4 linked regions of the Pelodiscus sinensis genome follow. The protein of the gene in region 2 purifies or fractionates together with the protein of the main gene of each other region. This does not show direct contact. Links are inferred from orthologs where the notes say so. Each region holds a gene or a part of one and is shown on either strand. Other genes may lie near its edges. The genes, in order: NGRN, HNRNPA1, ACTB and DHX30.

Region 1 (7,646 bases), on a different chromosome or scaffold from region 2:
CAGCCCACCGGCTTCCCCCCTTCCCGGCGCACAACCCACCGGCTCCCCCGGCGCCCCCCTTCCCGGCACACAGCCCACCGGCTCCCCCTGCTCCGCCCCCCCCATCCCGGCACACAGCCCACCGGCTCCCCCGGCGCACCCCCCTTCCCAGCGCACAGCCTACCAGCTCCCCCCCATCCCGGCACACAGCCCACCGGCTCCCCCGGCGCACCCCCCTTCCCAGCGCACAGCCTACCAGCTCCCCCCCATCCCGGCGCAGAGCCCACCGGCTCCCCGCTGCATCCCCCTTCCCAGCGTACGTTCTGCCGGGTACAGGAAGATGGAGTCTGAACCAGCCTGCCCAGCCAGCTGCAGAGCTGCTCCCTGAGGCCTGAAGGCTCAGCGCCCCAGAGTAACGCACCCGCTGCACAGCCAGGTGGCCTTGGCTGGGGCAGGAGGGTGCCAGAGGCGGGGCAGCAAAGGGACAGAAGCAGCACCCCCAGGGCAGGCTCAGCCGAGACAGCTAGGACTTTGTAACCTTTTATTTTCTTTGCACAGCCCCCAAAGGAACGGGCCTGAGAACCTAGCTTGGCCCAAGCAGAGACCCTCTCTCCCCGCCCAGAGACCCACAGCACAGACCAGCTCTGGGGAGTCCCGGCCCTTTGCACCTCAGCTTGGCCCGGCCTTCCCACCCCACTGGTCCCTCCTACCCACCTGCCCAGCGCTCCCCTGCAATTCCAGGCAAGCTCTCGGCCCGCCCAGGACGATGGCAGCATGGCCGGAGCCTGAGCCAGGCTGCCGGTGTAAGTCCCCGCCATGCACGGCAGGCCAGGCCCGGCACAGCAAGTGCCACGTCCCTACAAAGACATCTCCACCATGCCCAGAGAGAGTCCAGCCGGCCGGCCCAGGGAGGACAGTCAGAGGCCCACCCGCCCCTACTCCTGCCTTTCCTTGCCAGCCTCGGCATCAGCCTGGGCCAAGGGCTGCCTGTGCCCCCCTCCCTCTCCATGCGCCAGCCTCGAAGGGACCCTGTACAGGAAATGCCCATGGCTGTCGAAGTATTCCTGGCCTCTCCGCACCACTTCTGCGTCGGCGTCCCAGCCTTCTGCAGCCAGCTCCTCCAGCTCTTCCTCGCTCCGCACCTCACCGTCCCACCGCGCCGTGGCTCCCGCCGCCAAGGAGCCGCTCCTGCTGGCGGCCTCACGCCTGGCTCCATCCGCCTGAAGAGGCACCAGCCGGGAGCTCCTGCTGCTCTGCCCCTTCCTCTGTGGCTGGGAGCGGCTGGACTGGCCCCCAGGCGCGGGGGGGGCTCTGCACAGGGAGGCGTCCTTGGGCCCGGCTGGCAGGAGCTGCTGAGCGCCTTCGCCTGCAGACTTGGCCACCAGCTGAGCTGTGGGGTCTGGGCTCCCCTCTGGACCCAGCACCTTTGCATCCTGCTTCGCCCGGCGCTCCGGCGAGGGGCAGAACGTGCTCCTCAGCACCCTCTGGATGACATCAGGGCTCACACTGAAGCCCTGGGCCAGCCGGGCCACGGGCCACTCCTCGGGGAAGGCCTGCCGCAGGGACCTGCCGGGAGAGCAAGCGCCAGGCCGTCAGGCAGGCCCAGCCACACAGCCCCCAGCCCCGGGCGCTCGGCCCAGGGTCACCGGCCAGCATGGCCTGCTCACCGGATCTGCTCCATCGCCTGCCAAGTCAGGCTGCGTGGGGGCGGGCCCGTGGGCTCCAGCTCCCTCCGCAGCCTCCTCAGCCGCACCGCCGTCCTCTGCCGCTGCAGCGCCCTGGGGGGAGGAGGACAGAGGGGCTGAGTGCGCCCAGGACCCCCACCCTGCCCCAGCCCACCGCCCTGTCCCCCTGTCCCCTGTCCCCCAGCCCCCCCGTTCCGCCAGCCCCTCCTGCCCTGTCCCCCAGCCCCCCCGTTCCGCCAGCCCCTCCTGCCCTGTCCCCCAGATCCCCCCGTTCCGCCAGCCCCGCCCCCTGTCCCCCAGCCCCCCCGTTCCGCCAGCCCCTCCTGCCCTGTCCCCCAGCCTCCCCGTTCCGCCAGCCCCTCCTGCCCTGTCCCCCAGCCCCCCCCGTTCCGCCAGCCCCTCCTGCCCTGTCCCCCAGATCCCCCCCGTTCCGCCAGCCCCTCCTGCCCTGTCCCCCAGATCCCCCCCGTTCCGCCAGCCCCTCCTGCCCTGTCCCCCAGCCCCCCCGTTCCGCCAGCCCCGCCCCCTGTCCCCCAGCCCCCCGTTCCGCCAGCCCCGCCCCCCGTCCCCCAGCCCCCCCGTTCCGCCAGCCCCTCCTGCCCTGTCCCCCAGCCCCCCCGTTCCGCCAGCCCCTCCTGCCCTGTCCCCCAGATCCCCCCCGTTCCGCCAGCCCGTCTCCCTGTCCCCCAGCCCCCCCGTTCCGCCAGCCCCGCCCCGTCCCCCAGCCCCCCCGTTCCGCCAGCCCCTCCTGCCCTGTCCCCCAGATCCCCCCCGTTCAGCCAGCCCCTCTCCCTGTCCCCCAGCCCCCCCGTTCCGCCAGCCCCGCCCCCTGTCCCCCAGCCCCCCCGTTCCGCCAGCCCCCCCGTTCCGCCAGCCCCGCCCCCTGTCCCCCAGCCCCCCCGTTCCGCCAGCCCCGCCCCCTGTCCCCCAGCCCCCCCCGTTCCGCCAGCCCCGCCCCCTGTCCCCCAGCCCCCCCTGTCCGCCAGCCCCCCCGTTCCGCCAGCCCCGCCCCCTGTCCCCCAGCCCCCCCCGTTCCGCCAGCCCCGCCCCCTGTCCCCCAGCCCCCCCTGTCCGCCAGCCCCCCCGTTCCGCCAGCCCCGCCCCCTGTCCCCCAGCCCCCCCCGTTCCGCCAGCCCCGCCCCCTGTCCCCCAGCCCCCCCACCTCTCCAGCTCCTCGGGGTCCCCCGGCCCCGCGGCTCCCCGGCCCAGCAGGCGGGTCAGGCCCGCGGCCCGCAGCCCTCGCGGCGCCGCCATGCGCAGCCCAGCAGCAGCCAGTGGGCGGGGCGGTTGCGAGAACGAGAACGAGGCCGGGGGGCGGGGCTGTGGAGCAGGCAGGTTCCGGGGATGGGCGGGGCGGTTCCGAGAACGAGGCCGGGGGGCGGGGCTGCAGAGCAGGCAGGTGCAGGGGGTGGGCGGGGCGCTGCGGGGGGCGGGGCTGCGGAGCGGACAGGTGCAGGGGATGGGCGGGGCTGCGGAGCGGGCAGGTGCCGGGGATGGGCGGGGCGCTGCGGGGGGCGGGGCTGCGGAGCAGGCAGGTGCAGGGGGTGGGCGGGGCGCTGCGGGGGGCGGGGCTGCGGAGCGGGCAGGTGCAGGGGATGGGTGGGGCGCTGCGGGGGGCGGGGCTGCGGAGCAGGCAGGTGCAGCGGGTGGGCGGGGCGCTGCGGGGGGCGGGGCTGCGGAGCGGGCAGGTGCAGCGGGTGGGCGGGGCGCTGCGGGGGGCGGGGCTGCGGAGCGGGCAGGTGCAGGGGGTGGGCGGGGCGCTGCGGGGGGCGGGGCTGCGGAGCGGGCAGGTGCAGGGGGTGGGCGGGGCGCTGCGGGGGGCGGGGCTGCGGAGCGGGCAGGTGCAGGGGGTGGGCAGGGCGCTGCGGGGGGTGGGGCTGCGGAGCGGGCAGGTGCAGGGGATGGGCGGGGCTGCGGAGCGGGCAGGTGCAGCGGGTGGGCGGGGCGCTGCGGGGGGCGGGGCTGCGGAGCGGGCAGGTGCAGGGGGTGGGCGGGGCGCTGCGGGGGGCGGGGCTGCGGAGCGGGCAGGTGCAGGGGGTGGGCGGGGCGCTGCGGGGGGCGGGGCTGCGGAGCGGGCAGGTGCAGGGGGTGGGCGGGGCGCTGCGGGGGGTGGGGCTGCGGAGCGGACAGGTGCAGGGGGTGGGCAGGGCGCTGCGGGGGGTGGGGCTGCGGAGCGGGCAGGTGCAGGGGGTGGGCGGGGCCTGTTCCCCACCCGTGTCCGCAGGAGGCGAGCGCTGGTGCTGGCCGGCCGGAGGCTCTGTCGAGAGCAGGGTCCGACCCTCCACTTGCCTGCTGGCCGGGGCGTCGCCTGGCGTTTGGTCCGAGTGGCTCCGGCCGGAGCCTGGCGCTCGTCCGCCCTGTGACTTGCTGTGCCCCGAGGAATCGGTCCCTCCCGGGCAGGACAGACTGACAGGCGACTGTAAAACTATAAAACTTTCCTAAGCCCAATACAAAGGAACAGAGTCGCGCAGCCCTGTGGCCGGGCAGCAGGTGTGCGAGGGAGGCTGCAGCTCGCGGGTGAAGGTCGGCTGGCAGGAGGAAGCACCGTGTGCACACAGCTCTGTCCGCCGGCACCGTGACTCCAAGCAGCTCCTCGTCACTAGTCGCCAGTCACCGCAGCAGGCCTGGGGTCCCGACTCCCTCGTCTGCCTGGCCCTAGGAGGGGTTCTCCCTTTGTGCAGAAGAAAGCCTGGTTTTGGCACAGCCATGGCCTTTGGCTGTCGGAGTCCCGAGGCCCTTGGTCCCTTTCGTCCCAGAGATGGTCTGGCTGAGGCTCAGGTCCAATTCCTGGGGAGAGGCAAGCGACCGCCGATGAGACACGGGTTTGCTTGGGGACAGACACAGATAGGAGCTGGCCGGCAAAGAACCCATAGCCTCCCCTCCACAGCTCAGGTGAACAGCTGGGAATGAGGAAACGACAGGGCCCAGAGCGCCTGTCAGCTTCTTGCGTGGTCCACAGGGCTGCTGGGCTCTGTCCACGCTGCTGGAGGTGGCTGCTGTGAGCAGAGGGCAGGGTACCCACCAATTCCCCACACCCGGGGCCTCTCACGCCAGCTGTTTGCTCGGCCCCAGTCTCCCGACTCGCCGGACCTTTGGCCAGCATGGCGGGAAAGCCCCTGAGATGGAAACACCCTTCTTCCAGAGGGGTCCCCCGGAATTCTACCCTGCTCCTGCGAGCAGGGACCATGCTCTGGCCAGGGAGAGTGACAATTCTCCCGCAGCGATTCCGCCTCAGCCAGTCAGAGACAGACAAGCAACCCTGGGGTCAGACCCCTCCTCCACGCACACGGCCCCAGCCAGCAGCACTCCAGGGTGCGGCTCGCTCGCATGTACCAGTGCCAGAGCCGGCTATGCCCCTGCCTGGCTGCGGGACTGGCATGTGCCTGAGCTTTGCTGAAGCCAAAGGGAGGCGCTCTGGGCAGATTCCAGCAGTGCGACTCGTGGAGCAGGACCCCAGGGCCTGGCGAAAACACCAGCAGGGTCTCATTCCCAATGGCCTTCAGCCAGCTGGCGGTGTTTTCGCGACGCCTACGGGCCATGGCTCCAACAGGCAGCCCGGGCTGGCGTGGGGACGTGCCTGCTGATGGCAGCCCTCCACGAGAGGCGTTTGGCAGGCAGGGAGGTGAAGAACGTCCCCTACCTGGAAGCCGGCCGGGACACCGGGGCAGAGCTGCGGGGGGCAGCTCGGGCCATACCTGTGGTGGTGGAAGCTGAGGATGGACATGGCGTTGGCCCGGGGCGGGGCGTGGGCGCGCTGCACGATGGGCGCTGAGGCAGAGTTGATGGCTAGCTCGTGGACTGCAGCGCGGCTCAGGGTCGGGCACCGTGGGGAAGGTGCCATCTGAAAGGAGAGCACAGAAGGGACAAGGCAGGGCTAGAGCAGCAGGAGGGACACCAAGGATGCCCCTTGGGGCTGGCTTGGAGCCCGCCTGGCGACATGGCCACGCACCCTGGGTGATAAACACCCTGCCCCCCACGCCTCTCCTGCCAGCCCTGAGCGCAGCAGGCAGGCCAGCGTGGCACGGTGCAGGGCTGAGTGTGCCCCCTCAGGAGTCTGGCCGGGAACACACTGGGTATGGCCTGTCTCACTGGCCATCGCTGTGGGAAGGGGCACTTTGGCAAGCCCGGGCCTCCCCCAGCCCTCTCCCCCTTCTCCTCGGACGCTATCACGGCTGCTGCCTTCCCCCTTCCCACGCGGGCTGGGCTCCAGCTCTGGGCCTACGGGCAGTGGCAGGGGAGGACCCGTCGCCCCGGGACTCCCGGGGTCTCTGAGCTCTAGCGCCCTGCCGGAGCCCTGAGGAGGAGAGCAGGGCAGGGCTCTCCAGCTCCCGGCCCAGGCCCGGCTGCTGGCCCGCGAGTCCCATTCCGGGGTGACGGGAAGCAGAGCGCCCCAGGCCTGGCGAGGCCTGTCTTGGGACACGGCTGCTGTGTGGCTCCCCCCGTCACCGTGAGTGCAGCGGTCCCACCCCTGCTGCTGGCCCCCGTTTGCTCAGGCCCGCGGGCCAACCCGCGTGAGGGGACGGCTCTGCACCCACCTGCCCTGGCCCACGGGGAGTCGGAAGCTGCTCGAGCCCCGTTGCACTGCAGCGTGGGGGTGTTAAATTGCCCGGGGCAGCAGGTGGGGCCGGAGGACACGGGGGGAGAGAGCCAGCCAGCCAGAGGGGCCGGGAGCCCTGCTAGAGGAGGGTGCCCGCTGGCCCCTCTGGGGGATTTGAGGACTGGCCCCAGCCCTAAGGCACACTGACCCGTGGCACCCAGACCTTGGAAATCTCGGTGGGAGGCAGGAGACAGACCCCTTCGGCCATCTCGCTAGCTGTGCCAGAGGATGCCAGGGGCTTGGTAACCAGGCCATACCTGGGGGGGCCCCAGAGGCCTGGAAGGCAGCAGGTCCTGGGGCCCAGGGCCTGCATGAGGCTGCTTTGCACGGCCCAGCAGCAGGCCGACCCCCCGTGTCGTACTCACAGCCTTCCACCTTGTTCCTGGCGCTGGAGAATCTCCGGCCTCCCTCCTTCGGCACCTTGGCCAGAGTGCAGCGCTCGGCGGCCACTGCTGTGCCCAGGGCCTGGCTCCCCAGCCAGCTGGCGTTCTGCGGCTGCAGGCCGTGGCTGAGCTGCGCCCTGTGCTGCACGCGGTAGGGGAGGCTCTGGCCCATGCCCGACCTGGTGCCCAGCAGGCTGGGAATGAAGCCCTGGCTGCCCAGCATCTGGGCCCTGGCCGCCGGCTGCTGCATGATCTGCTGGCCTAGGTCGCGCACCGTGCTTCCCTGCAGCGAGAGGGGCACCAGGGTCATTAGTCGCTGCGTCTCCCGGCTCCCAAACACGTCCTGGAGGAACCGGGGCTGGCGGGAAAGAAAAGGCAACTTGTGTTCCTCTTCCTGGGGGGTCGGGAGTGTCTGGTGTGACCTGCCCCCCCAGCCACAACCTCTCCCAGCCCCCGCCCGAGCACGGCCCGAGCCAGCGCAGCCCTCAAGCCACAGAGACTTGTGCTGCCGCGGTTCCCAGCCTGTTCCTCGTACCTTATTGCTACTGACCCGGCCGGCACTGCCCCTTGCGCTGCACGTCTGCCAAAGCAAAGCCCCTTTCCAGGGCCAGGGCCAGGGCCAGGGCCAGCCACCCCCCCCCAGCAGGCTGGGCTGCTCTGACCCTCTCCTGAAGCGTGTACCCTGCCAGCACATGGCGGACAGGAGGGGAGCTGAGCCCTGAGCAATCTCCCCATCCCCAGCACAAGGCCGGGTGTTGGCTCAGCCCGACAGACGGAGGCAGCGAATCCCGGACGGCTGGCTCCCCTCCCGCCTGGAGTTAAGGGGAGCAGGCTGCTTGGCTTCCAGCGGCCTGGGGAGCCTCCGGCTGGCCCGCGCAGCCCAGCAAGTTTCTCGCCGACTGGGGCTGCTCCCCCTGGAACAGGCTGGGAAGCGCCTGAGTTCACTGCAGCCCTGCCTGTGGGCTCTCCGGGGCCCAGGGAGTGCCCGCAGCCAGCATTGTC
Region 2 (7,842 bases):
AAATCAAGTTAAAAAAATATCCATAGCCAAAACTGCAGCAGCCATTTGGGTTAACCTAGGGGCCGAAACTGGAGTTTTGTTAGCCTGACCATATCCGTAGAACTTGAATCAAAAGGACCCCATAAAGTCCCTTACCACGACCACTGAAGTTGCTGCCACGGTTGAAGTTGTCATTGCCACCAAATCCACCTCCACGGCCGCCACCACCACTGAAGTTCCCAGAGCCACTGCGGCCTAAAGAAGAGAGCAGCGCCTGTTAGCAGCACGGCTCATATTGCCAAAGGTCGGTTTGGATGAGTTCCAAAGCAATGGATGGGAAACTGGCACTCACCTCGTTGACTGGATGATGCACTGGCCATTTCTTGCTTTGACAGGGCTTTCCTCACTTCGCAGTTGTGGCCGTTCACAGTGTGATACTTCTGAACTGGAAGGGAAGAATTAGACGTTAACTGTCACCGTGTCCTGATTTGAAACCCAGGACGGGTCCCCTTCCAATGCTATACAATCTTTACAGTTCACAGAGCTGTGCAGAGAACTTACTAACAATCTTGTCCACAGAGTCGTGGTCATCAAAGGTGACAAATGCAAAGCCCCTCTTCTTGCCGCTCCCACGGTCTGTCATGATCTCAATCACTTCGATTTTGCCGTACTGTTCAAAGTAGTCTCGCAGGTGGTGTTCCTCTGTGTCTTCCTTAATTCCCCCCACGAAGATTTTCTTCACTGTCAGGTGAGCACCAGGCCTCTGAGAATCCTAGACAGGACAGAGGGCAAGCTCAAGCATTATCTGAGATGTACAATTTTAGAGCTCCATAAACAGTGGTTCGAAATGCAACAGTCCCATTGCTCAAAGACAGAGACAATGCAAAATCGTGATACGTGTCCACCACAAATTAAACTGGTCCCCATTTACAATTACTTGTACAGGATGCATCTCTATAAACCAGAATGGTTTAACCCTAACCCTTCCGGGCCACAGATGTTCCAAGATGTCCCAGTCCTGGCACACTGTGGGGGGTCCAGGAGCCTGGCCGAGGGAAGGGGGGGGGGGGAAGAGAGAGAGAGAGAGAAGAGGCAGGGCAAAAGCTGGTGTGGGAGCCAGCTGAGCTGTGAAAAAAGCGAGGGGGTGGGGGTGGGGGAGACAGCAGGGGGCCAGAAATGACCTGTGAAAAATCCCTCATCTGGGATCAGTCGGGTCCCAATGGTACCGGACAAGGGAGGTCCAACCTGTAGTAACTACTAATGTGGTCCTGCTTTAAGTACATATTCTGGTAGACAGCACAGCAAGGAAACGCAGCATTGGCAGTTACAGACAGCACGATTAATGTAAGCAGGGTACTGCTTTCCCCAAACCACAAAGAGAATGGAAACGACCCACCTCAGTTTAACCCCTGGGTTATAGCCAAACTATGGTCACTTTAACCTCAACTCCTCCCTACAGAGCCCCACTGGATCAGTTCATCCTAACAGTGAGCCAATTTCAGGCTATGAAAACAGCATGGTTAGACTAAACATTCATTCATACCTCTCTGGATACAGCCCTCTTTGGTTCAACAACTCTGCCATCAACTTTGTGTGGTCTAGCATTCATGGCGGCATCAACCTCTTCAACCGTAGAGTACGTAACAAACCCAAAGCCCCTGGAGCGCTTGGTATTTGGATCTCTCATTACCTAGAAAGGACACACCTCCATTAGTAACCACAGTAAATAACACGAATCAAACAGGTGGCATAAAGACGAGAACAAAGGAACATCTAAAGTTATTTAGCACTAGCTTTGCCCTACAACTTTCCCTCTGCCCAAAGCTGGGACCTCATGGATCATTTGGTAATTTCCCTGTTCTGCTCATTCCCTCTAAAACTGCATTTGATACCAGCCACCCTTGGAAGACAGAGGCTACTGGACAGCATGGCCATTCCTCTGCAGGATTCCGTCTAACCCTAAATTTGCCGTTAGACCCCTTACTCCCCTGGAACAGTAGTTTACAGATGTCAGTAAAAACAAATTATTCAGCTCTTCCCGTGGCATCAAAAAAAAAAAAAAAAAAAAAAAAAAGGCAGCCGGGCCATGCAATCAGAGTCCTTCCCCCACATCTGAATGTTATTATCTAACACCCAGAGGATGCTCTGGGCCAGGCACTCACCACGCAGTCTGTCAGCGTGCCCCATTGCTCGAAGTGGCCCCGCAGGCTCTCGTCTGTGGTCTCAAAGCTCAGGCCGCCGATGAAGAGCTTGCGCAGCTGCTCAGGTTCCTTGGGGGACTGGGGAAGAGGCACAAAAACGAGTCAGGAAGGAGCAGCCAACAGGGCCCGTCCCCTGCTCCCCCCTCCCCAGGAGATGCCCAGAGCAAGAGATTGCACAATGACTTACAGGCTACCCTCCCCCCCCCAGAGGGCCCCCCCGTGCACACCAACCCCCCCACCCCCTCCCCCCGCAGAGGGCCCCCCCCTGCACACCAACCCCCCCACCCCCCTCCCCCCGCAGAGGGCCCCCCCCTGCACACCAACCCCCCCTCCCCCTCCCCCCGCAGAGGGCCCCCCCCGTGCACACCAACCCCTCCCCCCGCAGAGGGCCCCCCCCGTGCACACCAACCCCTCCCCCCGCAGAGGGCCCCCCCCGTGCACACCAACCCCCCCTCCCCCTCCCCCCGCAGAGGGCCCCCCCCGTGCACACCAACCCCCCCCTCCCCCTCCCCCCGCAGAGGGCCCCCCCCGTGCACACCAACCCCCCCTCCCCCTCCCCCCGCAGAGGGCCCCCCCCGTGCACACCAACCCCCCCTCCCCCTCCCCCCGCAGAGGGCCCCCCCCGTGCACACCAACCCCCCCTCCCCCCTAGAGGGCTTGCAGCCCTGGCGCGCGGGAGCCGCCACGCACGCGCACGCGAGGCCCGCCACGCGCTCGCCCGGCCGCCATGGCGCTCCTCCGGCTCTGCACAAAGGCGGGCGCGCACGCGCACATGGGAGCGCGGGAGGCTCACTCCCCCCCCCCATATCCCCACCACACAGGCGCCGAAGGGCCGCCCACCTGGGAAGGGGGGTAAAGCGCAGGCGCGAAGGCTGAGGCGGCGCAGGCGCAGAAGGGGGGGGAGCCTCCGCGGGCTGGACGGAAGCCCGAGCAGGCCTGAAAGGCGTAAGGCGCGGCCGAACGCGGCGAGGTCCGCGCCCCAGCAGGGCCCAGGGGAGGCCGCGCCGGCGGCGGGGAGCGGAGAAAATGGCGGCCGGAGCCGGGCTCACCTCGGACTTGGACATGGCGGGGGCGGGCGGGCGCGGGCCTCCGCCTCAGAAGTGCTGCGCGTGCGATGCTTCCTCCGCGAGGCGCCGATACAGAAAGGGCTGAATGACGAGAGCGTCGACGCCTCACTCCACCGCCCCCTCTTAGAGCCCCGCCCGCCGCGCGCTCCCATTGGAGGCGGCGGTCGGGGCACACCCCCTCCCCGCCTCCGATTGGATAGCCACGAGAGGCCGACACATCTCATTGGCGGAGGAGATCCGTGACCCACCCACTGCTACAGCCTACTGGCTAAGCCTGCGTAAGCCCCGCCTATTGACGCATCACGTGGCCGTGCGTGCCTTCCCTCCCTTCCTCCCTCCCCCAACCTTTTCCCGCGTTACTGGCGAGAGGCTGTAGCTCGCCTCTGATTGGTTCGCTCATGGACAGTCCCGCTCTAATCTGCGCAGTGATTGGCTGCTGCCGCTAGACGTGGGACTTGACTGGATGGCGGCAGTGTCAATCACTCGGGTGGGGGCGGAGGCGGCTCCCATTGAGGCGGGGGGCGAGCGGCTTTTTCTCCCTAGCACCAGCCCGCGCGCTTTGCCTCTGTGGAACGTGCGGAGCCGGGCTCCTGCCTGGCAGCCTGCGGGAAAAAGGGACTAAAGCCCACAGGTGCTCGTCTGCGCATGCGCTAGCGGAACCCGGAGCAAGCGCCCGAAGAGGCGGGGGGAGGGAGAGGACGGGCCGCGCATGCGCCGTGCGGGGAGCCAGGCGCCTGCGCGCTAGGGGGGCTATTTTGGCGGGCGGCGAGCGTTGCGCAGAAGCGGCCTCGGCTCTGAGGGCCTGCGAGAGGGGGGAGTCCGCGCCGGACCCGCTTCGTCCCCAGGTACCCGGGCGGCGGCGGGGCGGCTGAGCCGGGACATCGGGCTGCTGGGCTCGGGGCGGAGGGGGAGACGGGCTCATTGTGCGGAATGAAAGGGGTTAGGGGGCGGGCCCGCGGCCACTGACGGACAGCTCGGCCGGCCAATGGAGGGGCGGGGGCGGGGCAGAGGCGCGTGACGGGCAGTGGGGGGTGCTGGTGCCCGTCGCGCGGGAGTTGGGAGTGGCAGCCGGCTGCGCCAATGGGGCGCCGCCTGGGGGGAAAGGGCGGGGCCTTCCCGGTTGATTGATGGCGCGGCGGGCCAAAGGGCGCGCGGTGTCGGGTTGTTTCCTCCCGATGGGCGGGACAATCGGCGCCCCGCTCTGGGCTGGGGGGGGGAGGCGGCTGGGACACGGGGCGCGCCCCCGAGTCTGGGCTGGGGGAGCCGAGCCCCGCCCCCTCGCGTCCCCCTCGGCCTCTGCCCCCCCCGCTCCCCATCCCCCGCCCTGCCCCCCCCGCGGGCGGTGCCCCCCCATCGCCCCGCCCCCCGCTGCCTCCCCCCCGTGCCTCTGCCTTGCCCCCCCCACCCTGCCCTTTCCTCGGCCTGTGCCCCCCCCGCCCCCGTGCTACAACCCCCCCGTGTTGTGCCCCCCATCCCCTCTCTGCGCCTCCCCCCCGGCCTCCCGCAGTCCCGCTGTAAATCCTTCGTTCTGCTCCCGCCCCGCATTCCTGCGCTCCCTTGTCCTGGAAACTTCTCAGCTCTGTCTCTGCCACATCTCCTGTGCTGCCCTCTCCCCCCGCCCCTCCTCCTCCCTTTCCCACCCAGATCCTTGTCAGCCCCTCACTGCTCCTGCAGCCCCCCTCGCTGACTCCCCACGAGCTTCTCATGCTGCTCCTACCCCTTGTACTAGCTGCCCTGCCCTGTCCTGTCCTTCAGCCCCTCTGTTCCCTGCAATAGTCCCTGTGCTCCCCCTCAACCCTTCCCCTGCTGTTTTTCCCTGAGATCCCCTCCATTTCTCTGTCAACAGCCCTTCATCTGGGGTTCTCCCTATCCCCACTTGCCTGCTGTTTTAGTGAGAACCGAACCTGGGACCTCTGGATTAGTGTGTCAGCAGCTTGAGCTAAAAGCCAGCTGGTTCTCTGCAACATCTTGTTCCCTACTGCTCAGTCCCTCCTGGATATCTATAAATCCCACTAACCACAATTCCTGCTAATCCCAGTCTCCTGCAAACCTCCCCTCATGCACTCCCTCCAATGCCCTGCATCCTCTGTGTCCATCTCTTGGATCCCCTGCAAATCTCTTCCTCAGAAAAATCCTCTGCAACTCACCCCACCAGCTGCCCACCACAGATCTTATATCCTCCCCCCAATCTTCTGCCACGCACCCTCTTATGCTTGTCACTACCCCCCTGGGATCTCCTTCAACTTCCTCCCCAAGATTCCCTGCAATTCCCCTATCTCCCCCCACCCATGTCCTGCAAACAATCCCCCAGCTCTACTGCCCTGTCCCCTGAAAACATCCCCCCCCCTTTAGCCCTCCTCATCTTCCCACACAAAGATCTATAGCTCTCAGGCAGCCCTTTCTCCCCTCAAACAACCCTCATTCCTTTCTCTACCTTCACCATCCTCTGTAACTGCCCATCCATGGCTGCCTGATTGGGGGGCCACAAACTGTACTCTGCTCTGCAACCCATTTTGCCCCGCCCGGCCCCTACTCCACCCCTTCCCCAAGCCCTGTCCCTGCCTTGCCTCCAATGCAACCCTTTCCCAAAGCCCCTGCCTCCAGGTGATGCTATCTGTGAGATTACAGGGGGTTTGGCATAGGGCAGCAGCAAGGGTCAAGTCCCCCCCCCCCCCCCCCCACTGTGTACCCAGCAGCATTTTCTCTTCTGCCCTGCTACCCATCTCCTAGCTGAGTCACTCCATTTCCTGCTGTTGCAGCGAAGTGGAACCAGAGTCACTCCACTTCCTGCTGCTGCAGTGAAGTGGAGCGAGCTAACTGGGAGATGGCGGCAGAGTGGAGCAGGCTGCCTGTGAGTGGGATAGGGATGCCAACCTTTGCTACTGCCCAGAGCCAGCCCTCCTCCTCTCCCCCTCCCCCAAGTTATCCTTCAGACCCATCCTGGACCTTGTGGGCTAATGTCATTATGAGGGACCATCCCGTCTGTAGGACGGGTGGGGCAGCTACAGCAGGCTCTGGGGTTTGTCTGCACATGGGAAAATTAATCTGGAATAAGACAGGATGTGAAGTTATAGTGGCTCATAACTATCTGTAACCCACTGTTTCTTCTTTGTCCTGTGACTGTAGTAGAGTTAGTTGCTCACTTCTCTCTGCGGGTGTGTCTATACAGCACTCTTCACTCAGAATTAGCTACACAAATTGCGCTACGCAAATTGCATAGCTTATTTTGAGTGTATTTCAAAATAACTCACTATTCCAAAATGCCCCATAACCCTCATGGAACAAGGGTTACCAGGACGTCGGAATAAGCGGCCTGTGATTTCAAAATTGATTTCGAAATAACGGGCTGCTTCAATAGACATGGAATAGCTATTTTGGGATACTTCCGGTATCCCGAAATAGCTCTGCAGTGTGGATGTATCCTGAGTGGCCGCTTGCAATACATGTTTACTCCTTACCTGTTCTACACTTGTATTTAGCTGTAACACTCCGAATGCCTTTCCCAGAACTGAAGAAGAGCTCTGCATATACTTGAACAGTTGTCTTTCATCAGCTGAAGTTAATCCAATAAAAGATACTGCCTCACCCATCTTGCTTGTTTGGTATCCTGGGACCAATATGACTACAAGATCACTGCAGTTTACTATGGGTTCACTACTCCTGATTTTAACTCCCTGTCTGGATGCACTTATTCCAGAATAAACCTGCCTTGTTCTGGATTAGTTTAAACCTGAAAAAGGCATGCTTATTTTGGACTAAGTATCCCTAGAGAGAGTTAATCAGAAGTAATTAATTCACTTGAAATTCTCACACACTGTATCTTGTTCTGGATTAACTTCCATATGTAGATACAAAGCTAGTAGCAACAGAGGGGGCAGATGGAATTTGTATCTCTGTATGCTCTAGCAAAGTGGTTTTAAATCTTTATTGGCGGACTCCTAAACTTTGAATGGGTCTTTGTTTTATTCTATAGTTACAAGAGTAGTTTAAAAAAAAAAATCAAAGGTACTTTACTTTCATACTGAATTCTTGCTTTACCCTTGCCCCCAAAATTGGTCCATGTGGCAAAATTGTCCGTGTGTTTAATGAGGGACAAAGAGCCTTTTCCTCTCTGGAAGGAAGGCAGGATTTCAAAATGCGATGAACCGTTACCGGCTCGTTAATGAATCCTGTGCTTTAGCATTTCCTTTGAGGAGACTATTCTGCTTACCTGTTTCAGAATTGAAGATAATGAGAATTTAATGGTGGAAGTGGATGTGCCTTATTGAAATACTGGGCTTATTTCTCCTCTCCTCCCCTCCCCCCCATTTAATCAGTTAATGTGATATTTGGAAACCAAGTTATTGACACGCACATGTTAAGTTAGCCCAGGTAATGGGAACCTGTGCTTACCCTTATGTAACTTTAATTTCTTTATGCCTAAGTTCTCATATGGCTCTCAGCACCTTGCTGTCTGAGCACTTCCTAATGCAACAGCAGGCTGATTTGCTTGTTTTAATAACTGTGCAGTGCTGTTTTAAAACATGACTAAATGTTTGTGTCCCTGCAACGTGCTTAAAGACCTTTTAGTTGTATATCCTGAAGCAGAGAGAGGC
Region 3 (7,734 bases), on a different chromosome or scaffold from region 2:
TGCTATCTGCCTGTGATCAGCAGCCTTTGTAAAGAATCCACTTTGTATTCAGGAGTCTTGAACTCTGACTTCTGTCTGCCTCAAAGGAAACGACAGAAGCCAAGCTGCTAGCTACTTGTTATGGGCCCAACTTTGTGGTCCTTGTGTAGCCAAATTTCCCATTGCGTAAAAAGGTTTGAAGGTTCAAGGGTTTTGTTATTGTTTTCCCAGTGGTTCCAAGTAGCTTTCTGATTTGCTCCAATATTCCTGGAATTTAGATGAGTCTCTTTGGCCAGTACGTCTCCTTCCTTAGTTTAAAAGGATCCCACTTTCATCTGCCATCCATCCCATCACACTTCACCATCTCTGCACCAGTCCCCAAAGACAAGGGAACTTGATGAAGTTCTTTTACAGTGCTGCTGAATCGATACACTTCTTATCTAAGGATTCTTTCACTCGCCTCTCATGAATCCTGATGTTTCTAGTGCCTCGTTAACATTTATCTCCGAGCCCCTTGCTCCTTTCATCCTCCCTGACTGTGAACTGCAACAAAGCAGATGTTGACCATGTCAGCCTCCTTCAGGGTTCCTGTTATTGGAGGTCCCTGTTACTTTTCCCCAATGCATTGAAGAGCTTGTCTGGTCAACTCTCCCATGTAACCTTTCCCCTTGCCTCATTTTATCCATTGGCAGACATCACACATCCAGGCCTTGGATCATCTCCTATTTGACAAATAATCTTCATCTTAACATCCCCCATGCAGCCTTTTCAAAGCAGTGCCTCAATTAATTACTCTCCTCGCAGGTGGGTAATTAACCAATTAGCTCCATTTTACTGATGAGGAAGTTGAGATGCAGACAGATTAAGGGACTTGACCAAGGTTACAGATAAAGTTAATGGCAGAGTCAGGATTTGCACTCAGGAGTGCCCAGTTCCCAGATTTCTATGCTCTTTCTCCTTTCCACCCATCCTTAAGGAAAACCCTGAGGTTTCTCAGTATCCTTTATTTCATTCCTTACAGCTGGACAGTTTTGGCAAGGTGCTTTTACACTTACCAGGCTGTATTCTTATGTTCGTAAGAGGTGGCGCAGGGTAGGTTTGTAAGAACATTATCATTGGAAGCTGAGTGACTCTTTGCATGTGGATATGGTCACAGTATTGTCTAAAAGCCCATTCATAGTGGTCCATTGTATCCCATGGATTTCCTGTCATAGCGTAGTTAACAGAGCACATTCATAGTGTAATATGAGAACCCTCCCCTGGGTGTGGTCGGCAGACTAATGGGGCATACTCATGTTCTTTCAGGAAGGTTCTTTGTACCATCTGGGTTCTCCTGAACAGGGCACACACGGTGTGAACCTTCAGACCCTGACAAAGTTAGTACAGACCTAGGGAGCCCTCTCACTGCTTACATGGTAATGACACAAAGTGCCAAATTTTGCGCTCAGTTACAGCAGCGTACATATGTAGGCACTCCGTGGCCGGTACTGGAATGACTCTGGATTTGCACCAGTGAAGCTGAGGGCAGAGTCTGGTCCAACTTTTCTACATAGCCGCGTGACTCGAGCTAGCGCAGAGTTTGGAAAAGAGCATCCAGCACATGGTAGAGACAGGATGCGCCTTTCACAGCTATGACATAAAGATACCCTCAAGTTAACCTCCACCTTCCTCCTGCCCACGGTAAGAGAGGTCCAATGGCTTCTGGTGGCAGTAGCAGCAGTTTTCCTGGTGTTACATGGAAACTCCCCTCTCCAACTTGGCCCTAAGAAAAGGACCCCCCCATAAATAAGGGGCTCCCAAGCAGTGAGAGTCTGGGGAGCATATTACCCATTTACCTGGAACCCGAGTTTGCTTACTATTTTCTCCTCACTGTGCCACCCTTGACTCAAGCTAGAAATCACTTGAGGCTTGAACTCACCAACAATACAATCCTGCATTGGCACCACAGGCTGCTCTCTGGGCACCTCAGCCCTAAGCCCCAGGAAGAAGAAAGGAACCAAGGACCTCCCCGACTCCTCTGAGAATCCTGCAAAATGCTGGCCCCGTTCCAGGCGACTGCTGGATGCAGACCCTCTGCATGGGGGTGAATTAAAAACCATAGAACATAGGAAAGCAATAGGAACAAGAGCTGGGCGCAATCCGTAAATGGGTTGTTATATCCTTATATCCACCCCGAAGGTAACTGCAGAGCTCTGTTTTGAGGCAGTTTACACCGCTTCCCCTGTGCTTTCTTCCCTCCTTTGTTCCACATGGCAGGGCACAGATACCAGGATACAGCTGAGATAATGTACTTAATCTCCGCAAAAAAACTCAGCATGCAGGAGCAACATTAAATGACCAGAACAGCGATTCCCTTTAAGGCCTCCTGTTAATGGAATGAAGGACTAGTCAGTCCTGCTCATCTTTACTCAGGTAGACTTTATCCACCTGAGCAATCTCCTTGATTTCCCTGTGACAAAGAGCTTTCAAGGAACAGGCTGCAAAATTGTCACAGCTCCCCTTTCCATGACATGGCACCCTATCACCCTCATTGTCCCCCTGCATCTGCACCTCACCTAAGTATATCATCAGGGCTAGCTTCTTTGGGGCATTCCTGCTTAAAGGTACCAGTCGGAGGCATCTGATGAAAAACACACGTTGTTAGCATTTTCCAGGGGACTTTGTGTTTTAAACCACTTGCTGGTATTCAATCTGAAAGGACCTACATTTAAGTAATTAAAACTGAAAGTTTATACAGCGCGTTGAAGAGGCAAAGTGCTATGTGATTGCCAGGTATTGTATCGGTTATGATGGCCTAGCCTTTATTCTGAAATGTTTCCTCATAAGAATGAAACCCAGAATTGCGGAAACACAAGACAGTGAGGAAAGTTCACACAAAGACATGTTTCGCTTGGCACCATACAGCTAAATGGAAAAGGAACAAGAACTACCACTTGCATGCAGTTGGGTGGATACAGGCCTCCATCTGCAGAGAGCTCATGCCAGGATCAAGGCCTAAGACAACAACTACTAAGCATTACTCAGACTAGTTCTTCACTCTTAACTTAGGTTGGTATAATGATGTTGTTTGAGGGTATGAAAAATCCACACCCAAGTGGCATTGTAATAGAGACTAAGCACCTGGTGTAGACACGGCTACATGGACAGAAAGGCTTCTCCCAATGACATTAACGATTGTCTCTCATGCAGATGGATGAATGACGCAGACTGAAGAAGCTCTCTTGTTAATGTCGTACCTTCTTCGCTGAAGCATATCCGGGGGGCAGATTCACCCTTGCAGCATTTTACATGTAGACCTGCCCACCAGTGGGTGGGATTCACAAAGGTATTTAGGTGTCTAACGGTGACACAGAACAGGCAGATCAGGTGCTGGTATCACGTCAGGTGGATTGGTAAGTTACTGTAATAGTCCTTGGGTGAGCTAAAGGGCCACTTTCACTCATGTGGCCTCAAGAGCAGCTCCATTGTCCCCGCTGCCTTGTGGGACAGTGGGGCAGGAACATTTTCAAAAGTGGGGGTGCTGAGCCCCCTTGACTCTGTCTGCCTCTACCATCCAGCTGAGACAGAGAGTAAAGCCCCGAGCCGGGAGGGTCGGGAGCTGGGTTCCCAGCTGCTACCCCATACGCCAGGGGCTTTGCTGCCCCTGGAACGCGAGACTCTAACTGACACCCCAGCACATGGGGCTGGCAGCAGAGGCCTTGGTGTGCGGGTGAAAACCTGGTGCATGGAGCGGCAGGAGCTAGGCCTGGAGCCTGTTCCCACATCTATGAATGGATTGAATTTGCCCCATAACTTCAATTTTAAATGGGACTCTGTTCTGAAGGATGATTATTTGCCTGGTGCCAAAGGCACATTAATAGTCCAGTGAATGGACAATAGGGTCTGCTTTCCCTTGGCCCTATGGCCCAAGAGGTATACCCCCACTACAGGGCTTCCTTAGCGGCTGCAACCATCTGTCTGCCATGCCCTTTCTCAGCCTGGGGTGTACGGGATATGCCAGGGGCAGGAACGTTGCTGCTGAGTCTGCTCTAATTTCACTGGGGGAACAGGAAGACCCCTTGCACATCCCCACAATAAGCCACCTTTGCCTTTAACCCCTTCCTGCACTGAGCGGGCCTCAGCCAGTCCAGGGGAGTGGCTCTAAACATCCCTGTCCAGAAGACCTTATACTGTAGTCAAAGGGCCAGTGGCAGGTAGCACCAACACCAAGCATTTCTTCCAGGAGCCAGCCCTCCGCTCTGCAGCGTTTGCAGGGTCAAACTCCTCTTTTCCGCTGACGTGCCAAGCAGGGGAGGTTGTTTGAAGGGGATGTCTCGGGGGCCACCGGGCACCACACGACCCAGCAGGCTACGCTGGGTCCAGGATGGCCAATGTAGGGACACAGTCAGACCCCAGGCCTGGCGAATCACAACGGCGTGGGCCCCTCAAAACAGCAGGGAGCCCTTTCCCCCAGCAAAGCAGGTGGTGCCTGGGCAGGACAGCCAGGCAGCCTCCGCATGCACGTTGTGTTATGACTCCTGCCTGCATTGCTAGGCACTGAGCTACAGCTCACGCCTGCAAAAGGAGCAGACTGGGTACAGCACCCACTGGCAGCCGGGAGCGCCCTCCCCCACCCCGCCTGCTTCTCTCTTTTTTTTTTTTTTTTATTACAAGAGGAGGAAAAAAAAAACTGCTGCAATGTGCAAAGCGCTTCGGGAGAGGGAGCGCGAACGGGCCAATCAGAAGGGCTAGCTTCGAAAGTTGCCTTTTATGGCTCGGGCTCTACCGCTCTGGCCCCATAAAACCCGGCTCGCACGGCGAGCTTCGGTCGCTCCGAGCTTTTTGCGCGCGTGCCTGTTCCCCCAGCAAGCCGGCTGAGCCGCCGCTTTTTTTTTTTCCACCCAAGGTTTAAAGTTGCAACTTCCCCAAGGTAAGTGCAAAGGGGCAGGAGCCTCCTCTGAAGAGCCCTTTTCCTGGGGGGGCAGGCAGGGCGGGCTGGATTTGGACGGGCCCCCTTTTTAGAGGGAAATGCCTGGGGTTTACTAACAAGCCCCCCAAAGTGGCTGAGTTTTGATGGCTTCCCATTCAATTGATCCCGGATCAATTCTGCTGGCGCTTAATGTTGGCGGCCGTAGGGGAAAGTCACTGGGGGGCTGGGGTGGGGGTTCTTTTTTTTTTTTTTTCTTCTTCTTTTTTTAAATATTGGTTGTTGCTCTTCTGGCGAGTCGCCTTTATTTCTGCTCCTTGCAAAGCCTGACGTGCCCCAAGCAGCAAGCACGTGCCTGGCTGCGCGTTGGTGGGGTGAGCGGTGGGTTTGCGCTTCCTGGCCCCACTAGCCTGGCGAGGGGCGGGTGGGTGGGGTGGCGTTTGCCCCAAGTTAACCTTGAGTTGGTGGGCGCCGGGAAAGGTCTCCCCTGTTGCAGCGGTGCTGCGTTCTGGGGCTGTAATCGGGCTTGCGGGTCTGTGCCTAAGAGGATTTGTGGTTGGAGTAGAAGGTGAATTGAGGGGGGAGGAGGAAGAGTGGTTTAAAGCTAATCGTCTTCCTTTGCATGGTTTAAAGAAGCTAGAGGCGATGGGTTTGGCGGAGGAGTGAGGCTGCCCAAAGGGGGCTTGGGAGTGAGCATCTCTTCCCCCACTTGAAAGGGGGCTAGAAGAAAGCTGGAGGAAGGGGGGTGTTAGCAGCGGCTCTGAAGCTCTGGTAGGGTGTGACTCCACAATTGGTGCTTCCGGTGGCAGAAGCCGGTACTTCTATTGTATTAGCTCAGCACATGCTGGGTAAGGGTGGGGGAGGTGGAGGGAGGATCCTCCCTGCAGAAGGGTGGGGGGAGACATGAATCAGTCTCTTGGCCCAGAGGCTAAAGGAGGTGGGAGGCAGAGGGTCTCTTTGTCTTGTTGAAGACACAGGGGATGCTGCTGAGAGGTCTGCCTCTTCCCCCCCATCCTATAGGGCAGTTGCTCTGGACACCCCCCCAACCCCCCCCAAAAAATACCCACATCAAGGACCTACATTGTCCTGCATTTTGCTTCAACTACCCAAGACTAACACGGCTACATTTCTATCACTATTCCACATCAAGGAACACTGCAGGCTCCTCTCTGGATTCCTGAGGGGCATTGTCCCTAGTGTCTGGGAAGGGGTGGGGTCCAGGTTGGCTAGTGTCTGTAGCCTTGGCACAGAATAGCTCTTGGTGTTTCTGCTTGAAGTAGGGTGAAGAAATGTACCCCCCCTTATTGCTGGCTTGGCTTAAAGAAAAAGGAACTCACTCCAGCCAAGCCTCTTTGCCCCAGACAGTGAGGTGTAGGAACTAAATTTCCCAGAATAAGCTTGCTAGGATGTCGGGATAGGCACAGGTGGGGGGTGGTCCTGACCCTCCAGTGAGCCCATGGATTTGCTGGTGCTGGTGCTGCCCTTCCTGAGTGTGACAATTGCATAACACTCTTAATTCTCTCTGGCATTGGCCATTTTCATCTGTCACTCTGTGTTAAATGGCTTTGAGGCTTAGCTGGTGGGGAGCCTGCAATTAAACTTGGCCAGCTAATTAAATAAAGATATAGATCAAGCAGGCTTCTTTCTGATGAAACCTACTGACCCATTTCTAAATGCCTCTGGGATAATTAATGCAACTGCTTGTAGGTCTGGTATAAGTCAGAGCCAGGGTATTAAGCAAGGTGGTTTCCCAGGAGAAACTGTTTCTCTGCAGCGGGGTGTGGCGGGTAACTTCTCCTTTTTTAAAACTCTTTCAGTGTTGTCCTGTTAACTCTGCTTCAGACACCCTAGTGCTAGACCCAGGCACACTCCCTCTGTCTGACAGGGAGTGGCCACAGCCATATGCTTCATTTGAAAAGGGAGGGGAGTGGCTTGTCTCTTTAATCAGCCCTCCCAAAGCTGGCTCCATGCCCCATTACTGGCTTCTTGCAGAGCTTGCTCTAACCATTGCCTTTTATGGTAATAATATGAGCCTCGAGCAGGGACTTCCTTTGTCCCAAATCTGTGCAAAGGCAAAATATGTAGAGCTCTGCACCCTCTAGTGGCTGAAAGGGAGAAGTCCAGCTCACAAACAGGAAGCTAGAAAGGAAATGGGTGGGGAAGGCAGCCCCCTCAGCTTGCTCACAAGCAAAAGGCTTGGCTTACCCTTTCCGGATGGGGGTTTCCTCGCAAACTGCACTGCACTCACAGCAATTACAGGCTCTTCCAGGAATCTTGGGGCGGGGAGACTTGCAAGGAAGCGAGACCTCTATTTCCTGGCTAACCACGCTTGCTCCCTTTACTTTACAGTTCGCCATGGATGATGATATTGCTGCGCTCGTCGTTGATAATGGCTCCGGTATGTGCAAAGCCGGTTTTGCTGGGGATGATGCCCCTCGTGCTGTCTTTCCATCCATCGTCGGTCGCCCCAGACATCAGGTATGTAATGAATGGCATCTTGCCTGTATTGTCTGATAATTCAGAGGCAGAAGAGAACAGGGCATAGTGTGTATAAGATACTGGGGACCTGTTAGCTGTGCAGGAGGAGTGAAAAGCTTGGCTTGTCTGCCAGGGAAAGTTCTCTGTAGCAGTGGCCTGGTTTAAGTCCATTCTATAATGCTTTAGCAAAACACTCTTAAAGCAGTCCTACGTTTAGTCAGCCAGTGGGTTGGTATCTTGAGTATTAGAGGCAATTAAAGTTGATTTCCCTTCAACTCTCCTCTTCCACAGGGTGTGATGGTTGGTATGGGCCAGAAAGACAGCTACGTTGGTGACGAAGCCCAGAGTAAAAGAGGTATCCTGACCCTGAA
Region 4 (7,997 bases), on a different chromosome or scaffold from region 2:
GCTGCCTGGTTGGTCTGGAGCGGCGCTGCGGGACCAACCCGGCAGCCCCAAGCTGCTCTACCCCAGGGGTAGGCAAGAAAAGCCTGGTTGCTGGGGGGGGCACTAGCTGCACCCCCCCCCCAGCAGACCAGGGTGGCGGGACCGCCCAAGTCCTCCACGGCTTTGCTCCGTCGCCCTGGTCTGCTGACCTGGGAGACGCGGAGCAAAGCAGCAGAGCACGCGGGCAGCGGGACAGTCCAGGCACGCCGCAGCTGTCCCACTGCTGGTGTGCTCCGAGGCTTTGCTCCCCATCTCCCTGGTCTGCTGGTCAGACCAGGGAGACGGAGAGCAAAGCCTTGGAGCACGCCAGCAGCGGGACAGCCCAAGCGCGCCGCGGCTGTCCCACTGCGGGCGTGCTCCGAGGTTTTGCTCCCCATCTCCCTGGTCGGAAGACGGGGAGCAAAGCCACGGAGCATGCCCGCAGGGGGACAGCTCAAGCATGCCCGGGCTGTCCCGCTGCGGGCGTGCTCCGCGGCTTTGCTCCTGTCCCCCTGGTCTGCTGGGGGGGCCCAGCAAAGCCGCTGGACCCCCCCAGCAGACCAGGGAGACTGGGAGAAGCTTTTCTCACCCGGGAGGACACAGGTGGCGACCCGCCGCCCGTGAGCTCCGGGGCGAGAAAAGCCCTGTTCGTAAGTGCGGATCCGACATAAGTCGGATCCGCATAAGTCGGGGACTGCCTGTATATGCCACAGTCGACCAAAAGGAAAGCTGGTTGTTCTCTTAAAAGGAAAAGAAAATTAAGTGGCCAATTAGAGACAAAGAAGATTTTTAAAATTATTTGCAGTAAGAGGTATTTATAAAACATTTTCCCTGCTGGTTTTTCTTGTCCCTTTTGTAAGAATTTGCAAAGTAGAAACCCACAGATATAAATCTAAAAGGCACACTGTCTTTTTTTAAAATGGAATGTACATGTAAAGCAGTCATATGACAGCAATAACCCTTCCAGTACACTTTTTGGGTAGAGGAAGGCTCTCAGCCTTTGGCATTATACCACACCAAGCATCCGTGCACATTATATCAGCTTAATGTTATGTCTGTGCCATGGTTTACAATCATATTTACAAACCTCCTTGAAAGATACAAAACCTTTTTATAAGATTGTGAGGTTTTGATACTTGAAAGTTGTAAAAACTTTTTACAAAGTGTGAGATTTTAAGTGCATAAGTCAACCCTGAATGGGATAAGGATATTAAGAAGAAAATAAATTGAAGTGAGTGTCTGGCATTGGAAAAGGTTCAAGAAAAGGCAACAAAAATGATGAGGGGTTTGGAACGGGTCCCGTATGAAGAGAGATTAAAAAGACTTGGACTTTTCAGCTCAGAAAAGAGGAGACTAAGGGGGGATACGTTAGAGGCCTATAAAATGGTGTGAAAAAAGTGAATAAGGAAAAGTTATTTACTTATTCTCACAATATAAGAACGAACTAGGGATCACCAAATGAAATTAATGGGCAGCAGGTTTAAAACAAACAAAAGGAAGTTTCTCTTCACTCAGCGCACAGTCAACCTGTGGAACTCCTTGCCAGAGGATGCGGTAATGGCTAGAACTTTAACAGGGTTCAAAAAAGAGCTAGACAGATTCATGGAGGTTACGTCCATCAATGGCTATTAACCAGGATGGATAGGAATGGTGTCCTTAGCCTGTTTTTCTAGAGGTGGGTGACAGGGGAGGGATCACGTGAGGATTCCCTGCTGTGATCCCTCCCTCTCGGGCATCTGGTATTGGCCACTGTAGGCAGACAAGACACTGGGCTAGTTGGACCTTTGGGCTGACCCAGTCTGGCCGTTCTTATGCTCTTATACTATACACTGAAGGAAGATATGCAGCTTCCCACATGTAATTTATGAAAACTGTAACACATGGGCAGGGCTTGACAAACGGCGGCAAAAGCCACTCGCCAGTCCCGCACTGTGCATGCACAAGAGCCTCCGGTAAATGGGGTGTGCGGCTGACATCTACTCACCATGGGCGAGTAGATTCTATAGTTTGTCAAGCCCTGCGCATGGGAATTCACGGGCAATAAGATTTCTTAACATCTAGCTCACTTCCACGTTTCGTTTGGTTTGGACAACCCATCAGTCCTCAGAACAAAACCAGTATGAGCAGTGGCAGGAACATCGAGGTACACCATGCCAGTTCTCTATACTGCTAGGAGAGCGAGGAGGTGATGTTTCCTCTCCGCAGCCTGTTCAGCTGATCCCCCTGTGCCGAGGTGCCAGGGAAAGGGCTATTTATTAGGATATTTTCATTCCACACAGGCTAAACCAGAAGGCCGGGAGACACAAAGGCTTTCACTCACGACCCGTTTCAAACGCGTGACCTTGAGGTGAAAGGACGCGGAGCCCTTCACCGCTGCCCCGAGCATCCCATTCACCCTGTTTGCCAATCGGGGGCCGAGGCGCGTCCAGAACACGGAGAGATTCACGTCCAGGAAGCGGCTCGTGTTCCCTCCAGAGCCGCTTCGGGACCCGCCGCCCCCTGGGCCCCACGCGGGCTCGCCTCCCCGCACCGGCAGCTTCGCGCACGTGTCGGGAGAGGCGCTGGGGCCGCACAAAGCCCCGTCCCCGCCAAAGCGAGCGGCCGGCGAGGGACGAGGCCTAATCGCCCGCTGGCCCCGCAGGTCGCTCCCCGGGCCCCGCTGCGGAGACCGCGAGGGCTGGGCCCGGCCCGCCGGGGCTCGCGCGCGCTGCCCCCCGGCTGGAGAGAGGGGCGCCCCCCCCGCCACAGGGCTCGGCCCCAGCGCCTCCCGAGCTCACCCTTCACCATGGCGCCGACGTCCGGCTCCTCTTCCGCCCCGGCCGCGGCCTCGCTCAGCGGCCCGCCCGCGCACAGGCCCCGCGTGGCGCCGCCCGCTGCCGGCTCCGCCCGGCGGTAGCGGCGGCAGCGCCGCGGCCCGGAAGCGCCGCTCACCAGCGCCAGCAGGAGCCGCCTGGGCGCCGCCATCTTGCCGAGGCCGCCCACCGCCGGCTTCAGGCCGGGCAGGGGCAACGAGGCGGGCGGAGGGAACCCGGCCGCGCGCAGCGGCCCCTAGCGCGCGGGGCGGCGCACTGCAGGCCCGGAGGAGCAACAGCGCCGCACCTGCCCGCGCCCCTGCGGGACCCATGCGCGCGCCAGGCCCTGCTGGCCGGGGGCATCGCCCGCCCCTCCCCCGCTGCATTAAAAAGGTGGAGGAACAGGCTGAGAAAGCAAGAGATCCCTGCCCACCCCGCAGCTGAGGAACAAGCCTGCACTGACCCTGCCCACACCTGTTCTGAGGCTTAAGAGAGAACTGCCAGGTAGGCCAGTAATGAAATAGAACAATCCTCCTCCCCATTTTTATTTCATATCCACATCAGACATTGTAGGAATCTCATTTAGCATCCGCTCCCCTTGAGTGACCCTGGATAGGAAACCAACTCTTTGTTTTATCTCTGGATCGCATGCAGATCAGTCAGAAGCAACACAAGAGAGAGTAAGCTATTTCAACATGTAAGAGGATATATTCTGAATACTACGTGAGCCTCAAAACAACCCCTTAGGTAGGTCAGCATCACGCACTTTTTACAAATGAGGAAACCGACCCACACCGAGGTTTATGAGAAACTTGTTCATAAAGAGAAAAAGTTAGTGGTGCTGCATATGGTACCCAAAAATTTCAACTTCCGGCTACTCTCTTTTAAAATACATGTTAAAGGGACACTGCCAACTTTAAAAAAAAAATCACTTCTGATAACTTTGAAACTAGAAGACAAAAAATGCATTTGCAATTTTCTTGGTATTTCATGCCACTCTGTGTATATTATCACCAGTGAGGCCAAATTTTAAAAACGACTAGCCAAAAGCAAGCAAGCAGAAATATCTGACTCCAAGAACTATACCAATCAGCAGGAAAGTTCCCAAGCAGGTTTAGTATCTGAAAGTAATTTTTTTTAAATTATATATCGACCATACTTCACTTCTGCAGTTGTAATCAAACTTCATTATTTTACTAACACCTTCAATACTAACATTTGAAAATTAAAAAGTTATTATTTAGGTTGGTCACAGTCTGTATTTTTCTCACTTTGAAAAAAATGTTTGCTCAATTTTAACAATTAAATATTTTCAGCATAAGTTTCTTAATACTGTAACATGTGGATGTCAAGTACCCTGTCGCTGCAGGGATGTTTTAATCCTTCCCCCCATCAGAATTTGTAAATTATCAAAATATTTGAATATACATGAAATCTAACACTTTGGGCTACAATTAAATTGCAAGTGCCTATTTACAGTAGTGAATTGTTTATATGTTAAATTGTCATTCATTAATCAGTAAATACTTTGCTTGCAAACCAAGATTATACATTAGCTAATATGTAAAAAATCATTAAGGGAAGTAAGACTTTCAACAAGTATATCTTCGCAGGGAGCTAAAAGATATCTGAATGGTTACGTTAGCAAGGAAAACCACATATAAAAAAAACTTAACAAAAGAACAAGTGTATTTGGAAGTTTTGAGCACACACTAAATTACTTGACTCAGCAGATGTGCATCTTAGGATATTAAGCCAATTAACTAACATTCTACCAATAATAAATATTTCTGAAAAAATCAGGCAACAAGAGAGGCACTAAAAAAAATGCAGAACAGACTTTCAAACACAAATACTAAAGCCATCCTGGCTGTTTGTTTTCCTAAAAGTCTAACTTCTATCCCCAGTAAAAGAATTCAACAAATACTGAGAAAAGTACAACTAGAGTATGATAACCATAAGCAGTACATAGCATCAATTCCTACACACCAAATATAGCCAGACAAATTCACCAATTAAAAAATCTGGTAGATGTTATACTAAACCCCATGAACTCTATCTTGAAAAATTATTTCAAATCAGTTTAACTAGTATAATTCAGCAGAAGTAAAACTTCTGGGGAAAATAAAAAGCATGTGTATGTAGAAAGGGGATTAATGTTAAATGCTGAGGTATCCAGTTTATTTATTGAAAATCTTCATTGTGATCTTGAAGGAGTAGGATATCCATTAAAGCAGGGGTTCTCAACCTTTTTCTTTCAGAGCCCTCCCCAACATGCTACAAAAACCGCACAGCCCACCAGCACCTATAAAAGCCAGGACTGGCATTAGGACAATTGCCTGGGGCCCCACAAAGGTACATTGCTCAGGCTTCAGCCCTGGGTGGCAGAGCCAATGGCCCAGGCTACAACCCCAAGGCTGTCTAGACTGGCCAGTTTTTCCGGAAAATCAGCCGCTTTTCTGGAAAAACTTGCCAGCTGTCTACACTGGCCGCTTGAATTTCCGCAAAAGCACTGACTTCCTACTGTAAGAAATCAGTGCTTCTTGCGGAAATACTATTCTGCTCCCGTTCGGGCAAAAGTCCCTTTTGCGCAAAAGGGCCAGTGTAGACAGCTCAGATTTGTTTTCTGCAAAAAAGCCCCTATCGCGAAAATGGCGATCGGGGCTTTTTTGCGGAAAAGCGCGTCTAGATTGGTAGGGATGCTTTTCCGCAAAAAGTGCTTTTGCGGAAAAGCGTCCGTGCCAATCTAGACGTTCTGTTCCGAAAATGCTTTTAACGGAAAACTTTTCCGTTAAAAGCATTTCCAGAAAATCATGCCAATCTAGACGCAGCCCATGTGGCAAGGCTTCTACCTTCTGCCCTGAGCCTCAGCGAATCTAAAGCTGGTCCTGTTTGAGCACTCCCCTCAAACCTACTCCCAGCGGGCCTTGAACCTCGCATTGAGAGCCACCACATTTAAGGAAAATTACAGATGATACTAAGTTGTTTTGAGTGATCCACACTCGTGGATGCAGAAATAATAGAGCCCTAAAGAAATGAGAACCGTCGGTGGAGAATACAATAATGAAAAAATGTAGTTGTACATCTGGGGGAGGACTATAGGAAACACATTCAATGGGAGGAGAAACAGTGATGCAGAAAATAAAAGGGAGAGAGTGTTCAGAAAATTAGATATAAATAACAGGGCTAGTGGTTTGTCACGGTAAATTAGACAATAATTCTGGTCACAGAAAAAAGGCAAGAATCGATTTATGGAAAAAATGCCAGCAGTCACAGGATACAATATTTCAACCAAAATGTCCTTTATTTTGCAATGAAAAGCGTTTAACAGCATTTAACTAGTAGTTTAACACCACTATCCTGCTGCTTGTCAGTTCAGACTCAAAGCAGCGAGCTGCTGCTGCTCCTTCTTCTCTCCTACATGAGCTTTTGCAAAGGGGTTGGCAGCTTTGTACAGAAACTTCTTATCCAGCTCTGCCAGCTTCAAGACTTTCCCCAAAGACTAGTAGTGTCACAGAATCCATGAAGTCCCTACCCCAGTCCAGCCATGACAAACCACTAGCCCTCATGAGGTGATGCTCTCCTTCAGCCTCCCATTCAGCCTAGATTTTTACTTGGCATCTCAAGAGTTTCCCACTGAAATACAAATGTCAAATATCATTAATTTGTTTTAATTATAGAATTCATGACTACTGATGCGCTTTTTTTTTTTAAGCTTGACATTGAAACAAGAATGGCTAATGAAACGTTATGCCACCAAAACAATGAATCCGAGGCATTTCTTCCCAGAGCAGGGAGGTAATAGACCCTCACTATGTTGTACATGTCTGATACAACCTTACCGGGAATAATGGATTGAGTTCTGAGTAGCTCATTTTAAGATTGAGTAACTGAAGGATATTCAAAATAAGCAACAAAAAATGACCAGTGACTAGAGGGACTGACTTATGATAGACTAGAAAGAGCTAAATCAACAGTATGGCTGAACAATGACAAAAGGGGACATAACAGCTGACATATTTGAATTATGTTAACACCGCAGAAAGTACAAAGGATGAAATTTAAAAGGAAAAATGCAAACTAATTAGAACTAAACTGGATGAAAAATTAAGTAACACACTGTAGGGAACAACCCTGCATTGTCAGGGGGGATGGACTGGAGAACATAAAAATTCTTTTCCATCTCCAGTTTCTGTATTTCCCTGAAATGTATCTCTCACTGTGTTACTTAATATAAGTACAGGTACTTGTGACATTAATACTTGTTCAGACAGCTGTCCCAGCTAAAAAATGATTTACACTGCTGCATAAGTACTAGATACCAAACTATTATGGTTTGGAAACATTTACTTTTACAAGCAGACACAAATTTTACCCTTGGATGTGAAGCTCCCCTTGCAGTTAAAAGGAGTGACATAGGACCTAATTCTGTTTTCCTATGTAATACATAACTTCCAATGTGGCTACTAATTTTCTCAAACATCCTTCCTTTTTCTTTGTAGCACATGTAAGCATGTATTGGTGGCACAAACACTAAAATGAATGAGAAATAACTCACACTGCAAGGCAGTATGGCACACCTGTCATATCATTCAGCATAGAAAAGAATGGTAAAATTATTTATGAACTGGATATCTTTGTCCAGAGATCTAGTGCTATAGCTGATCAGTCAAGAAAAATTAATGGTGAGAGATGAGCGCATTCCCCAAATCAACCAGTCCTTACCTTTTCTACATGAATTCAGCGAGAACATCTCTGTCAAAGTGAAAAGATCTGATTCCTAGGAAAGCAAGAGGATGGAGAGACAGGAAGTTAGAATTTATATTCCTCTCCGAAATGTCCAAGCCTCCACTAACTTTTCTGATATTAACTATATATTAGATGAAGAATACAGCTGAAGGTTGACCAAATTCCAGTCTGAATGATTGCATTCTGCTTGGCTATAGTATCTATTATGTGCTGTCTTAAATTGCTGAATAAAGTTGTACTCTGTAAAACAGCTACATTTCTATCACTAATGTTACATTCAGAGATTGGGGGAAGTATTCCCTCTAAATATTAGTTCAAGTTTGTAAAAACTTTGGAAATTTGCAGGATGACAAGTGCTACTGATTTCTAGTTATTCACATTTTAGACACTGAAAGTCCCATTGAGATTAAATACAGTATTTTAGTATGGGGTTCTTGT

The links.
Region 1: the proteins of HNRNPA1 (region 2) and NGRN purify together in Homo sapiens (affinity purification with mass spectrometry; 3 studies listed by BioGRID and IntAct, counting the BioPlex papers as one, with this or other methods). This does not show direct contact. The link is inferred for Pelodiscus sinensis from reciprocal best matches to the Homo sapiens genes HNRNPA1 and NGRN.
Region 3: the proteins of HNRNPA1 (region 2) and ACTB fractionate together in Homo sapiens (co-fractionation; 3 studies listed by BioGRID and IntAct, with this or other methods). This does not show direct contact. The link is inferred for Pelodiscus sinensis from reciprocal best matches to the Homo sapiens genes HNRNPA1 and ACTB.
Region 4: the proteins of HNRNPA1 (region 2) and DHX30 purify together in Homo sapiens (affinity purification with mass spectrometry; 3 studies listed by BioGRID and IntAct, with this or other methods). This does not show direct contact. The link is inferred for Pelodiscus sinensis from reciprocal best matches to the Homo sapiens genes HNRNPA1 and DHX30.

What each region holds. Positions count from the first base shown.
Region 1 is NW_027466005.1:39,787-47,432, forward strand, and holds NGRN (neugrin), read right to left. Parts: upstream 2,984-7,646; 5' UTR 2,919-2,983; coding exon 2,827-2,918; intron 1,758-2,826; coding exon 1,647-1,757; intron 1,546-1,646; coding exon 915-1,545; 3' UTR 507-914; downstream 1-506. Other genes in the region: tubulin polyglutamylase TTLL13, read right to left, coding at 4,320-4,451, 5,360-5,505, 6,627-7,002. UniProt on the Homo sapiens protein: Plays an essential role in mitochondrial ribosome biogenesis.
Region 2 is NC_134729.1:1,217,379-1,225,220, reverse strand, and holds the start of HNRNPA1 (heterogeneous nuclear ribonucleoprotein A1), read right to left. Parts: upstream 3,003-7,842; 5' UTR 2,955-3,002; coding exon 2,871-2,954; intron 2,259-2,870; coding exon 2,142-2,258; intron 1,670-2,141; coding exon 1,523-1,669; intron 752-1,522; coding exon 541-751; intron 425-540; coding exon 332-424; intron 235-331; coding exon 136-234; intron 1-135. UniProt on the Homo sapiens protein: Involved in the packaging of pre-mRNA into hnRNP particles, transport of poly(A) mRNA from the nucleus to the cytoplasm and modulation of splice site selection.
Region 3 is NC_134726.1:31,385,183-31,392,916, reverse strand, and holds the start of ACTB (actin, cytoplasmic 1), read left to right. Parts: upstream 1-4,727; 5' UTR 4,728-4,888; intron 4,889-7,234; 5' UTR 7,235-7,240; coding exon 7,241-7,363; intron 7,364-7,654; coding exon 7,655-7,734. UniProt on the Homo sapiens protein: Actin is a highly conserved protein that polymerizes to produce filaments that form cross-linked networks in the cytoplasm of cells.
Region 4 is NC_134712.1:256,903,607-256,911,603, reverse strand, and holds the start of DHX30 (ATP-dependent RNA helicase DHX30), read right to left. Parts: upstream 3,007-7,997; 5' UTR 2,983-3,006; coding exon 2,796-2,982; intron 1-2,795.